Coturnix japonica: one gene and its partner. The protein of the gene in region 2 binds, or shares a complex with, the protein of the main gene of each other region. Links are inferred from orthologs where the notes say so. Each region holds a gene or a part of one and is shown on either strand. Other genes may lie near its edges.

The links.
Region 1: the proteins of IL22RA2 (region 2) and IL22 are in contact, whole or in part, in a crystal structure (PDB 3G9V), measured with the Homo sapiens proteins. The link is inferred for Coturnix japonica from reciprocal best matches to the Homo sapiens genes IL22RA2 and IL22. Residues at the interface, in NP_443194.1 of Homo sapiens: Lys65, Ile66, Tyr99, Gly100, Gln101, Arg102, Trp104, Gln128, Glu129, Pro130, Tyr132, Met148, Pro150, Arg151, Thr153, Trp155, Trp156, Glu157, Glu200, Pro246, Met247, Leu248, Asp249, Arg250; in NP_065386.1 of Homo sapiens: Phe47, Gln48, Pro50, Thr53, Asn54, Phe57, Met58, Lys61, Ser64, Leu65, Asp67, Asn69, Thr70, Asp71, Val72, Arg73, Leu74, Lys162, Gly165, Glu166, Asp168, Leu169, Met172, Arg175, Asn176.

Annotation. Positions count from the first base shown.
Region 1 is NC_029516.1:31,853,785-31,860,272, forward strand, and holds IL22 (interleukin-22), read right to left. Parts: upstream 4,067-6,488; 5' UTR 4,029-4,066; coding exon 3,825-4,028; intron 3,117-3,824; coding exon 3,051-3,116; intron 2,955-3,050; coding exon 2,814-2,954; intron 2,570-2,813; coding exon 2,504-2,569; intron 2,095-2,503; coding exon 1,981-2,094; 3' UTR 1,314-1,980; downstream 1-1,313. UniProt on the Homo sapiens protein: Cytokine that plays a critical role in modulating tissue responses during inflammation. Plays an essential role in the regeneration of epithelial cells to maintain barrier function after injury and for the prevention of further tissue damage.
Region 2 is NC_029518.1:49,589,765-49,596,403, forward strand, and holds the start of IL22RA2 (interleukin-22 receptor subunit alpha-2), read left to right. Parts: upstream 1-2,229; 5' UTR 2,230-2,452; coding exon 2,453-2,567; intron 2,568-3,480; coding exon 3,481-3,631; intron 3,632-4,100; coding exon 4,101-4,279; intron 4,280-5,292; coding exon 5,293-5,462; intron 5,463-5,927; coding exon 5,928-6,083; 3' UTR 6,084-6,639. UniProt on the Homo sapiens protein: Isoform 2 is a receptor for IL22. Binds to IL22, prevents interaction with the functional IL-22R complex and blocks the activity of IL22 (in vitro). May play an important role as an IL22 antagonist in the regulation of inflammatory responses.

The DNA of each region.
Region 1 (6,488 bases), on a different chromosome or scaffold from region 2:
GGACAATGTAGAAGGGGAACAGAAAAAGTAGAAAAAAGAAGGAAGTTAATCATCCATTGGTAAAGAGATTATATCAGTGAGCAATAGTGCAAGTAGTTCTTGGTCTAGTCTTTCTAAACAAGGAAGAAGACAAGCATTTCTAGAACAATTCCACCTCATTCCACCGCATTATCTTTATAAACTTCAGTGGAGTTCAAACAAATCACACCTGGATAATTCTTTTTACTTTCCTTCATCTGTAAAGGGAGACAAGTGTATCTCTGGGAGAAGGTCATCGATAGTCAGTGAGATGAATTCCCTAATTTGTGTTTAGCTTTGCTCTCTTTGCTGTCAGCTGTTGCAAGTTTGAATGATAAAGTATGTCAGCCAAGAACTCATGACAATATAATTTCTTATGTCACTAGTAAGAAAATAAATATACTTTTCAATATAGTATAAGTTTAATTCCCTAAATGGATGGTTGCTTTTGTCTTGAAATCTCTCTGGATCACAGTCAACAAGGCATAGTTTAATACTGCTTTAATGCTAATTCATTACAGTACCTGATGTAAGACATTGCAACTACAACTGGATTAGTTTTGATTTCTCTTTGAGTAACTGAGGAAGCTACACAGGCAGAAATATTTTCCTGTCAGTGTTTATAGCACATCACAATACCCAGTCATGAGGAGTCTTTAAGATGCCTCCTTAGCACACTTTTTTCTTTCACTATTTGGACACTTTTTGACCTCTTTAACCTTCATGCAGCCACTTATGATCCTGGGTGTACCAGAGCAACTCGTCTGTCTTTGCCCAGGGGATGCTGCTGAAGGAACTGATAATGACACCAAGCTCTCTTCTGAACACTCCCAAATCCATGGTGCTGCTGAGCACTCCTTTGTCTTAGCACTACGGGTCAGTGAGTTTTCATGTAGTTCCTGCTACTTGTCCATTTATCTCTGTCTCATCTGACTCGGGAGGACAGTCTGAAACTTTCTGCCAGTGGCCATTCAAGATAGGACCTTACCTAAGGAGAACTACTCAGGCAGAATGAGTGAACCACACCAAAGATTCTCAGAAGTGCTATTTTTCCAGCATCTCCCCACGAGAAAAGCTGATCCACACACTCTCCACAAAACCCTGTCCTGTGGTAAGCTGAAACTTCAGATTTAATGAAGAATCCTGTCCCCAGAATGAGTTTGCATCCTTTCTGGATACAAGAATACAGCCACTCAGCCCAGCAGCCCCCCAGGCATGATACGTCACCTCCCTTGCTTTTCAGTAAAAGAGAAAAGCTCTATGAGACGGCAGTATTTGAAAACCAATATCTCTTTATTATAATAAATTAAAAAATAAGCATTTATGAAACAATCCATCTGCATATAAATATTACACAGCAGTTTTAATTTTACAGTTCATTCTGAAGCTTCTGGTCTCCATAAATACATCCCTGTGGCTATGTTTTAATTAATCTGTATAAATACAAGTACAGTATAATTACTACAAAATTATTACCTTAAAATAAGTTACCATTAAATATGAGCAACAAAACTAATTTCTGAATGTCTAAAGTTCCAGCTTTTCAGGTAAAGGTCAGAAGAGGGCAACATACACAAGAGAGATTTTGAAGTCAAAGGCTGAAAACTCCCTGGCTACAGAGCACTGCCTACCTTGGCCAAAGCTGACTCAGAGGTGTCAAATCTCAGCCTATGAAATACAGAAAGAGTTGTCTTATTCCAGAGCGGATGAGCAGGATAGGAGCATGCCTTTGAAAACAACCAGTGTGCAACAGTGAAGTGGAGCCACAAACGCTGTTCTGCCGACTTCATTTTCCAGGCAGGCAGCAATATGCTTCCATCTGTGCCCACCTGATTTGCTATTTCTGGTACAGACTGAAAAGTGTGCTGCAGCTACCGGCAGGATTTTTTGCACAGTAGTTAATCAATGTAGTAAGAGCTCTGGGAGATATTCCATCAAGACTAATCTGACTGGTTTTTCTTTTCAGTTTTTCTTCTTGTTCCCTCCCTTCTTTGGGGCATCAGTACAAGCATTTTCTATGTAGTCAAACAGTAAATCCAGTTCTCCGATGGCTTTGTTCTTTCCATTCTCTCCCAACTAGAAAAGAGCAGAACACTGGTCTTAACATCCCTCCATTTCTCAGAAGACTTAAATTAGGCTTGTCACAGAAACTGCACTGAGAACTTACTCTCCTCTTTCTCACAAGTAGTTCTGTTAAAGTCAATATATCATCAAATATAAACTAGCTCATTCAAATCCAGTCTAGTATACGCAGTAGCTCGCAGCTCAATTTCTAAGGGCTAGTTACTATAAGATATGCAGAGAGTTAACAGTACACATGAAGGAACTCTGGAAGTGGAAACACCACTCGTCTCCTCTTTAATGCCCCTGCAAACTTCACCTTTTATATAAATTCCAGAGCTCGCTTCATGACTCTGTCAGCTTTACTTTAGTTAAACAACTGGAGTTTTGAACGGCACTTCTTAAAAACAGAGAAAGAATATACCTCTTTCATTTTGCTCTTCATCTCTTCCAGGTTCTTTTCAATATGTTCTCTGTTTCCTGAGTGTTTCTAAAGAAAGAAAATATCCAGAGGTAACATTGACAGATGCATGTGACAATATGCTGCTTTTCTTTTTGTTTTCTTTTTTTTTTTTTTTCCCCTTTTTCACACGTTTCTATCAACCTCCAGTTTGATATCTTAGATCTGAGGTTTCCTTTCATATCACTGTCTCTTGCCACTATTTGCAGATTTCTGAGATTCAGGAGCAGTGACAAGAATCACAGCCAAGGGAAAGAAAATCAACACTACTTACACATCTGCTCAGCTCCGAGATCAGGGATGCCAGGAACTGTGCCACATCCTCAGCATATGGGTACCGCTCCTTGGCCTCTGTGAGGACGTCCTTCACTATAATCTCTGCAATCCTCTTCATCACGTAGCAGCGGTTGTTCTCCTATGTGTTTAAATAAGAGGTCATGTTAAATTGTGGGAAGAGGCCAACAAGTGCTGCAGAACAACATGGGGATCTGTCTTTAGCTGGAAGACTCACCCTGATGTTGACATAGATTTTCTGACCGATGAGTCTATTGTCAGTGTCCTGATCTGAGACCCTGGCCTGAGGGGGAAAAAAGGAAATGTCAGGTGAGGATGGGAGACTTACCTAAAAATTAACAGTGAACCCTGAGGTTTCACCAATAACAGTTCCAGTGACAAAAAGAAATGGACACTGTAAGCAGGTAGGTAAGGTACAGGAAGGTAAGCTTGGAAAATTCAGCTGTTTCTTTCCACAACTGCATAAGAATCAAGGTCACAGGAAAGTAAATATGCAGAAATCTGAATTCCTGTCCCTCTTGTAAACATCGGAGGTCGTAGTGGTTATGATGACTAAACCAGAACCTGCGGGTAGCCATCCTCAGCATCTCCCACAGTGCTGCATCATCTCCCACAGCGCTGCATTGCAGCCCTCGATGCAGTATGTGGGGGGAGATCCACACATGATAGAGATGGTCAAGAAACCTGTCCAGGCACAGAGCTGAAAAGCCAACATGCCCAGCTCTGAGAACAAGAGTAATTTAAGATCATATCTCACAATTGTCCCTGTGTAGCAGCAGCCGCTCCAGAGGAGCTGAGCAGCTTCCCTTGGCCACAGCACCAGTGGGCAATGGGACTATTCCACACATCAACCTCTGTCCCACTGCAAATGTTTTTGTTTTCTGTATGAGTGCAGAAGAAAGAGAGATAAATGATGAAGGCAAGAAACCAGGGCACTGGCAGGGAAGGAGGTCCTCACATCTTGCCATGAAGGGAAAGTGAGTTATCATACCATTTCAGCCAAGGTGTAGGTGCGATTCCTGATGTAGGGCTGCTGGAAGTTGGTTTTCCTTAGCCTGCAGGCTTGATGGGCATTGGAAACCATCCCTATCCCTTTTGGAGGCAGAGGGCTGGTGAGAAGAAGGGGGAAACAGCAACAGCAGCAGAAGACGACCCATCCCGAGAAACTCCTGGTCAGGGTGTGCAGGGTGGCCATGGCTCACGTCCGTCCCAAGGGCTGTAGTTACAGCACTCAGCACTGATGAGAGAAAGCAGTGTTAGCAGTGGGGAGAGTGAGCAAGGGCAAAGGGAGAGAGGCAGAACGGCTGCAAGCCTTACCTTTGCTGTGATTCTCAATGTGCTGTGAAGGAGGTGAGGTGTGCCTTATATAGGGACATCAACATCCCTCTCAGCTTTTTTTGGGGGGAGTATTGGTGGTGAATTAAAAATGACATCAGCAAGTCTCTTACTTTCCTGTATCTTCTTCTGAGAACTTCCTAACCACTACAAAACCCACAAATACAACTTCAAGGCAATTGTAACCTTCAGGTTCTTATAAAGTAAACCAATTTTTAATGCAGGGACAAAGCGGGGGCTTTTACTGGGACTGTGATCCTGAATCCTTTTCTCATAAAAACATCTAAGAAGTTCATAGATTTGTGCCTTCTGTCCCAATTGTGCCATACTAACTGCATTGGTAATTTGATGGCAAATAACATCATATGTATTAATTTATATTCGTCTTCTGTTGTATAAGACTAGTGACCCACTGGAGATGATGAAGGTACACAGATGGTCAGAGATTGCTCCAGACCTAGACCACTCTGACCAGCTCTGGTTCTCACCTCAAAAAATCCCTTCCCACACTGGGCTGCACTGGAGCCATGGGCTATCTGCCCATCAGTGTTCATTTCTCTCTGGGACATCAGAAACTGTATAGGACCAACAATGAATTTCTCACATCCCTCATCCTCACACTCCCATTTTCCAAACAATGATCCATATTTTAGGCTGTAACCAGGGGTAATAGCCAGAGCCGAGGCCACACACTTACATTTTATCTTCTTCTGACACATTCACATCCTTCAATTCTCCATGTTTCTGTCACCCCAATTGCCTCCTATCTCATCTCTGTGTGGCTCTGAAGCCTCTGGAGCTGCACCTACTCACCCTGAAGCCACTTCCAGCAGAGCCACCATCACCACGACCCTTTCCATGACTCACATGTATGCCACCCATTCTCATGCCTGGCCTTCAACAGCAAGCCTGGGTTCAGGATGCTGACCACACAGTTCATATCCCAAATGTACCACAAGACTATTCAAGAACATGTTTATAAACTCTTTTCTGTGAATTTATTTGCCAGGTGAATAAGAAGATGGGAGGGTGCATTACAGGTAGACAAAAACAGGCAGTGAAGAACAAACTGGGAGAAATACAGGCAGAGTCTGTTTCAAAGTGTTGGCCTTCTCTGAAGTGCACTCCCATGAATTCCTCTTCAAGGGCTAACAGCCTGATAACCACCACCTGCTTTGAATTTTAAGCTAGGTTTCTCTTACTTCTCTACCAGCTCATCCAGCAGTTTAGATGTCCCAAGCCCAGAACAAAAGCCGTGAACAGGTATTCTGACCCTTTCCAAGGGGAGCAATAGCCCCTGTCTTGCCCCAGATCCTGTCCTCCTGAGCTTCTAGACCCCACCTCCCATCACACACTCTCACTTGACTCAGTTCCAGTTTTGCCTGACCTCTTCTCATAACATGGAAAGTGTTTGTGGCCTGTGTATGCACACGCTGCCCAAATTGTGGTGAGGAGACCACATGGTCTCAGGATTCCCATACTGATGGATATCTAAATATCATCAGGCATATGGATGAGGAATTAGATGCTGAATCTTCCTCCTGCCCTCTTTTATGCAGTGATTACAGGATCTCTTCTATCTGGCTTCTCTAGTATTTGCGAATCATAGACTTGGATGTATATATTTTCATAGGAAGCGTTAAGTCATACTTCATGAGCCTCTCTCCCATTTATGCTGTCAGAAATCTCTTTCAGCTGTGCGTCATTGGCTGTGCCATGCTGTCTTCCTTCCGAGGCTTGCAAAATGTCCTTATTTCATTTGTTTGCTTTATCTCTGCTGCTCATACTTTTATTTTCCAGGCATCAAAAGGACAATTTTCAGTTTTAATTAATTCTTACTTCACGAATTTCCTTTTTATGATGTTTGTAAAGCCTTTGCATTACTTAATCTTTTGCTGGCCATTGTGAGTTATAACAACATTGTCTCCCTTTTTTAGCTTGCTGTGAATACAGCCAAGTCCAAAAATGAAAGTTCAGAGTCTTTCTGGACACAAAGTTTAGCAGTTCAACATGTTCTTCTTGCACATCAGTCCACACCTGGCCATTTCCTGACTACTTTTTACCAAGAGACTGCTGGTTCTTGATGTACCCCTGAGTTACGGCATAGCCGTGGTCATGGCTGCAGTTATTTCCCTTAGCATGTCAAGCTGTTCACAGATTGCATTTTCTTCTCCATGACGTCCCAAGAAGCAAGCATCTGTCCTACCACTGACCTCACTAATACAATTTTAAAGCTTAATTACGTGGAGTTTCCCTAATTCATTAAGAAACCATAGCGGTTGAATATTCTCGACAATGACTTCTTGACCCATATTGAACA
Region 2 (6,639 bases):
GAGGTTGTCCCATGGGTCTGAGTCCATGAAACCCGCATGCAGACTTGTACCCAACAGTAGAGATGGTTGTGGGAGGAGCCCTTCTGGGGTCACATTTTCTCCTCTTGTGGTCAGGAACATCTTGCTCCAGATAAAATAAAGCAATAAGGTGGTGCTATCAGACGGGATGAGTCAGGCAGCTTCCAGCAAGAAGGTACTCAGCTTTCACCTCTGTGTGGCAATAGCCAGACTTTAAGAGGAAGAACTTAATTTGCCCAGTATTTAGAGAGCTTTTTATTCCAGGAATGAAAAAATTCTTGTGCTCTCAGCTCTGTCTGTTCACAGAAGCATCAGGACTGCCCTGTCACAAAGGCTTGGGTCAAAGCAAATGCTACAGTGTAAGTAAGCACTAACATGGATGCTGCTGGGGAAAGGAACGCTTTCGTTTTCCATTTCTTCGTGAGTTCCATTAGAAGTATTCTTAAGCAATACTGTTTCTTAAGTGTTCCCATTTATTTAAAAGTGCTATAGATGCATTGCACTCAAGACAAGTACGTCTATATGGGTGTGTGCAGCTGCCACTCACCAGAATGTAATTGCTTTTGTTGCAAAGAGCACTGGGGAGACATGATTGAAGATAATGAGAAAGAAAATGTTACAGATGCTAAAAACATGGGGATTATCAGCGGGTGTTTCAAAAATGGTGAAATTATGTGAAGAGATTGCATCACATTGCCAGGCCCAATTACAGAACAAGCACTATTGGTGCTGTGTGAGAAGCCCTGATCTTTTCCACGATCCAGGTGTTTCTTTCCCCATTTAGCCACAGCAATTTGCAAGTATTTGGAAGGGAGAAGCAAAGGGGCAGCCTTCCTGGCCCCAGTCATGCAGCCACCCAATCCCAGCTCTGGGAGGTTTTGCTGTCGTGGGAGAACCTGGTGCCGGCAATGATTCCAGCAAAGCTCCGCACTTGGGTCCCGATAAGGTGTGTTGATACAATTCAAGTAAGTAAATACACAACCACAACCTGTGACAGGCGTGACTAAAATTTGATGGCATTTCAGCTCAGTGATCAGTTCATAAAAATCCCCTATTCCCGCACTTGAGCTCGTATAACGTGATGAAATACTCATTGTGTGTGTGGAGGGGAAATTCTTAAAGTCATTGAATTTTGAAAATGTGTTTGGGAAATGGAGATAAAAAAATCCCAGAAGGCAATGCCAAAATTGCCTCTCTACCTTCTACCTTGATTTTCTTCTGCATTCCTTCCCAGCTAATCCCATACTGTGGTAAGTAGCCATTCACAGTTACACACCTGCAGTTTTAATGTGCCCGCTGCAAATTCAGTGCTCGCACTATAATGTGCATGTGCTCAGTTGATGTCACCAAGGCCAGATTCTTGATTAGGTTGTATTTAATTTGCCTACCGCAACCGAATGCCTTTTGATGAAAAAAACACCTTAGTTTGCACAATAACTTACACTTTTTATTTCATTCTGGCAACATTTGCTTCTGCCTTTTTCCCAAAGCCAAGATGAGGGATTAGGTAAGTTTTTGTTTCTGCAGACAGAGATGCCCTTTTCCTGCAACCAAGCAGTTTCCACACTGGTTATTTATCGGTGGGCATTACTATTGTGTGCTGCTCCACACTGTGCACAGTTGGGTTGTCTCTTCTTGCCCACTGATGTGGGCGTGCAGGAGATGAGGGCACCCGGCTCATGCTGGGATACCCAGTGTGCCAGCACTCAGCATGACCAAGCTCTCCATACCACCCACCGGGCAACAACTGGCCCCCTGCAGGCTGGCACACACAGCAATAAAACATCTACCAGCACAGAGTGAGATCACTTTATCGCAAGCCCAGCAGCCCGTTTTGGGACCATGGGATGCACATACCAGTGGTACAGCATTCAGAGTTGCTTTGGTGCATACAGTGTCAGATAGGCAGTGGCACTTTGACCAGTGGGCTGAGCTCAGCCAGCTGCAGCCTCCAACCACCCAGCAATAAGTGCAGCAGTTTCATGTCCCCATGTCCCCCTGATGACATGTTCCTACATGGCATCCTCCACTGAATGTTTCGACAGCCTTCATTGTTGTGTTCAACCCCAAGACAGGCCACCCAGATTACATCCCATTACTGTTTTGTGCTATTGCAGCAAGATTTTGTGTTCTGCGGCACTGAGTGACTGGCAAGCTGAAAAACAATATCATAGCAGAGCAAAGAGGCAAGTTTGTGTGACATATTTTTGGGATAAAGCAATATTGCCAGACATTTGGGAATTAGTCCCTGAAAAAAGCACATTTTTCTCATTGGTTTGTTTCATAATTAGTTCCAAACTTCAGAGTGAGTGAAGCTTCCAAGTAAGAGCGATTGCTTACGTTTAATTTAGAACAACTAATATATTTCCCACCTAGCCACAACAGGGAATTTATAAATAGGGAAGTCACTTTAATAATTACTTCCTCATAAGACATGCCCAAGAGGAAAAGAGATGCTCTCAGTCATGGAGCTGCTCTCCTAAGCATGAGGGGGATCAGGCTTTCCTCCCTCTGCTTTCTGATGCACCTGCTGCAGGACAAGATAAGCAGTAAGTAAAGGCTTTCAATTCTCTTCCCACCTGGAGGGTGTAGGGGTGGTGGTGTGTGCTGGGTCTGCTCTCAAAGCTGGGCAAATCAGGAAAACTCTGGATACAGAGGCTGGTTTCATAAGTCCTGTCATTTCCAAATTAGTTTCATTTTGTTTTTCAAAATGCAGCTAAAATGAGTGTAACGTTCATCGCATTTACTTACAGTTCTGTTACCGGCTTCAGCTCAGTTTGCAGGAATCTCTGGTTGTGAGATATACCACAGATAAAACTGCAGGTATATGAAGTCAGCTGGGTCATGAAATCCAGAAGTCTGTTAGGATTTCGATGCTTCAGTGCATGTTAACTGATTCTGTCACCTGGATCTGTCTCAGTTTGGAAGCAGCTTATCTTGAAAACTGTCAGACAGCTTTTTCAGTCAGTTCAGATGGGAAAAGCAGCGAATGTCATACTATTTTATTAGGCAAGAACCAACAAACGCAGCTATGGTAACCACTAAAACATAGTGACCATATACTATATACCATAGTTAAACTATAGTCCCTGCAGTCTAAGTCTGAGATAGGAAGGACAGAGCACCTACCTTTAACTACTGGCGCAGCTGTGTACTGCATGCTCTGGGAGCTGATCAGAAGGGTTTGTCCACTGGGTTGTCCACTGGGCATCCTTCATGGCAGTAAATTCAATGATGAAAAAGAAGAAGAAAAAAACAACACCATTTGTTCCTTTCACAATCCTGGCTGTGGTCTGTAACTTCTACATCTGTTCACTGCAACACGGAAAGTTTGGAACATGAGACCCAGATTTAACTTCCCCGCCGGCTGCTAGCCTGAAACCACACGAGCAGTGTGTGCCTGGATGCAGAGGTGCCTGACTGAGGGAAATGTGTGCTGTCACTGTTTCTTACTATTTGCAGCCACTTTAGTCCTGGAAAATCAAGACCTGCGAGATGCAATCAAGCCACGGGAGGTATGGTTTTACTCACTGAACTTCAACAACACCCTGCGCTGGCAGCCTGGGAGAGCTGGAGAGGGAGAAACCACGCTCTACTTTGTGCAGTATAAAGTGTAAGTGCCAGGGGAAGTCCAGCATGCCTCATCCAGCAGCCCATCCCTGCTTGGCAAGCCAAAGGGATCTCTCAGTTGCCAAAGGATACCTGGGGCACAGCCTTGTCCTTCACTGCTGCCAGCTCCCTGCACTTATCACAAGCCTGTAAAGTGCAGCTGAGCAGCCTGAAGGACATGGAGGTCAGGCGTGCCTAGCAACGTGACATACACCGTCATGGCACCTTAGTGTCAGCCTTGTGGGAGCACAGTCAGGGCTTCAGTGGACTGCTGTGCCACACGGTGTGGTGCTGGGACCTGTTCCTCAGAGGGGCCTACTCTATAAGGGAGGCCTGCTCCTGTCCCCATCACATCTGGTCCAGCACCTCACAGGATAAGAGCCTTAGGTTCCTTTGGGGAACAGACTGTTACAAGTCTGTATAGATCTGGTTGGCAGTAGCTGGGGCTTGAATTGCTCCTCCTTTCCTCACAGGTATGGGCAAAGCAAGTGGCAAAACAAAGAGGAGTGCTGGGGGATTCAGAGCCATTTTTGTGACCTGACGGAGGAGACTTCTGATGCCTATGAGCCCTACTATGGGAGGGTACAAGCTGCTTTGGATGGTGTGCAATCCGACTGGAGCCTCAGCTGCAGATTCACTCCCTGGCGAGAAAGTAAGTGCAAACACATGTGCTCTCTGATCATGGGGCTGGGTTTTCTGCAGTGTGGAGCACAGCATTTTTGCTCCCAATCTGCTGTCAAAAGTGATACCCTTCTAGCTAGAAAACTGTACTGAAAGAAGTCGTGTGTCCACAACTCTCGGGGGAAGTGTTGTGATAAAATAACTTTTCCCACACTTGAACCAATCCTTGTGTACAATTAGGGGACCAGAAATGCCTGGCTCCCTTCCACTCAACCTCTCCCTCAAGGCATGGAACTCCGTAAAATATTCACAGCAGTTTCAGGGGCTGTTGGAAGGATTGAGCACAGTGTGAAGAGGGAAATGTTCTCTGCTAGAGGGAAAGGGGAGGAGAGAAAAGGCAGCTGCATAGCCTACAGCTTTCTCACATGCATGCGTTTTTCTCACATGTATTTTCCTGACAGTGGTGTATTTAGAAAGGACATGCACAGAGCTTTTAGTTAGTACAGCCACTGTAAGACCATAGTGCACAGGACTGCAGGACTGTTAGAACAGCGAGCAGTGTCAGTGTACCTACCACTAAACTTCCATATATTATCCATTTTTTTCCCCTCTGATCAATGTAAAACTGAAGTGTAGATACTAACACAGGTCACTCTATGGCTCTGAAGTGCAAAATAACTTGTCCTGTGTAGGCAAGACTGCACGCTTTGAGCTAGAGCTGCATCTTGCTGCAGCAGCAGCTCACCTTACCCTGCACCACATCCTCCTAAGAAGATGTGGGGTAGCCGCTGCCTTCAGGGGTACACAGGAACCATGTGAAACCCCAGCTGTGTTTAACCAAGCAGGTTGCACAAGTTCTGAGAAGAATGACTGAAGCTGTGTCCTTGACCTGAAATGGTTCAAACATTTCTGCAGCTCAAGACAGCAGAAAAAAAAAAAATGAAGAAAAAGAATCAAAGGCAAAAAATCCAAAGCATTCTGTTCTGTGCATCGTTATTAATAAGCGTGCTATAATCATGCTCACAGCTTTGTTTATACCCCTAGCTATGATAGGACCTCCAACAATAAAGGTGGTTCACAGCAACAAATTCATAAAAATAAAGCTCCAGGCTCCACGATCGGCTTATAGAAGGAAGAGAGGCAGCACGATACCAATGACAAATTATTATGATCTTCAGTACCAAGTTTTCATAATTAACAACTTGCTAGATGAGGTAAGTGCATATTCAGATATAAACTCTTTACCATTGGAAAGCCAAGAGAGTATGGGCACACTCTTCCCTTTTACAGCTGAAGCAGCCCTCTAGGATTGCAAGAGTGTAAATGCCCGTGTAAGTATCTAAACACAAAGCAAGCTTATTTTTCAGGAATTGAATTTGATTGAACTGGGCTGTAATTCATCCCCACTTTCTTTGTTCCCATTGGTGTACTATTTCAGAATCTAAGCCCTAGTTGAAACAGTTGGGAAATTACGGCAATTTGGGGTGGCTTTTTTTTTCTCAAGAAAGAAAAGAAAACAACACCAAAACTGGCACATAAATAACTAATGCTAGCTAATGTTGTTGACTTAATGCAAATGCATGTGTTGCTCTGAACTCTCCATCCTTCCCAGCTTAGTCATAGACACACTTGCCAGGGCAACATGCATGACCAGCTGTTTCTCCTCCCTCTGTCTGAAGCAACACAGAGTGCTGGTGTATGAAGGAAAAGACAAGGTGATCAAAATAGAAGATCTGAAGCTGGGAGTCAGCTACTGCATCGTGGCTAGAACATCAGTGCTGGCACTGGGCCGCAGCAGTGCCTACAGCAGCAGGCGGTGCATCGTGCTGCTGTGAACAGGCAGCCATCGCCACAAGCCAGAGCCAGAGAGGATGCAACAAAGTGACAGCCGGCCACCCCTTCCCTAAAAGGAGAAGGTAACATAAATACTGCTGTCCCACAGGGAATCATTTTCCAGAGTTCTTGCATCTTCTCAGCTCATTCCACTCCAGATGAGAATGATACACCCAAAAAGGTTAGAAGAATGGTGTGGATAATAACTTGCATGCTGTCAGAGTGCTCAGAAATGCCTCCTTCTTCCCTTTCTTCGGTTACGCATAATATTGTTTCATCAGTTTTTACTGCTGTCAAGCAATTATTAACCAGGAAAACAAGTGGTCTCCAGCTTTGTTAACAGGCAATTCTGCTGCAGCTTCTCCAGGGACTTACCCAGTGTGTTTAATCTAAATGTACCCGTCCTCACTTAATGGCCATTATTCAGGTGTTATGTGTTTAAAAATGAGTCGTTTATCAAACTTCATGAGTTTCCATGAGCCAAAATGCAAGAGTTATTTCAATTAGCTGGTCTGAATAGTCTGTTTACTCATCTCGATCAAAGTATTATATTCATGT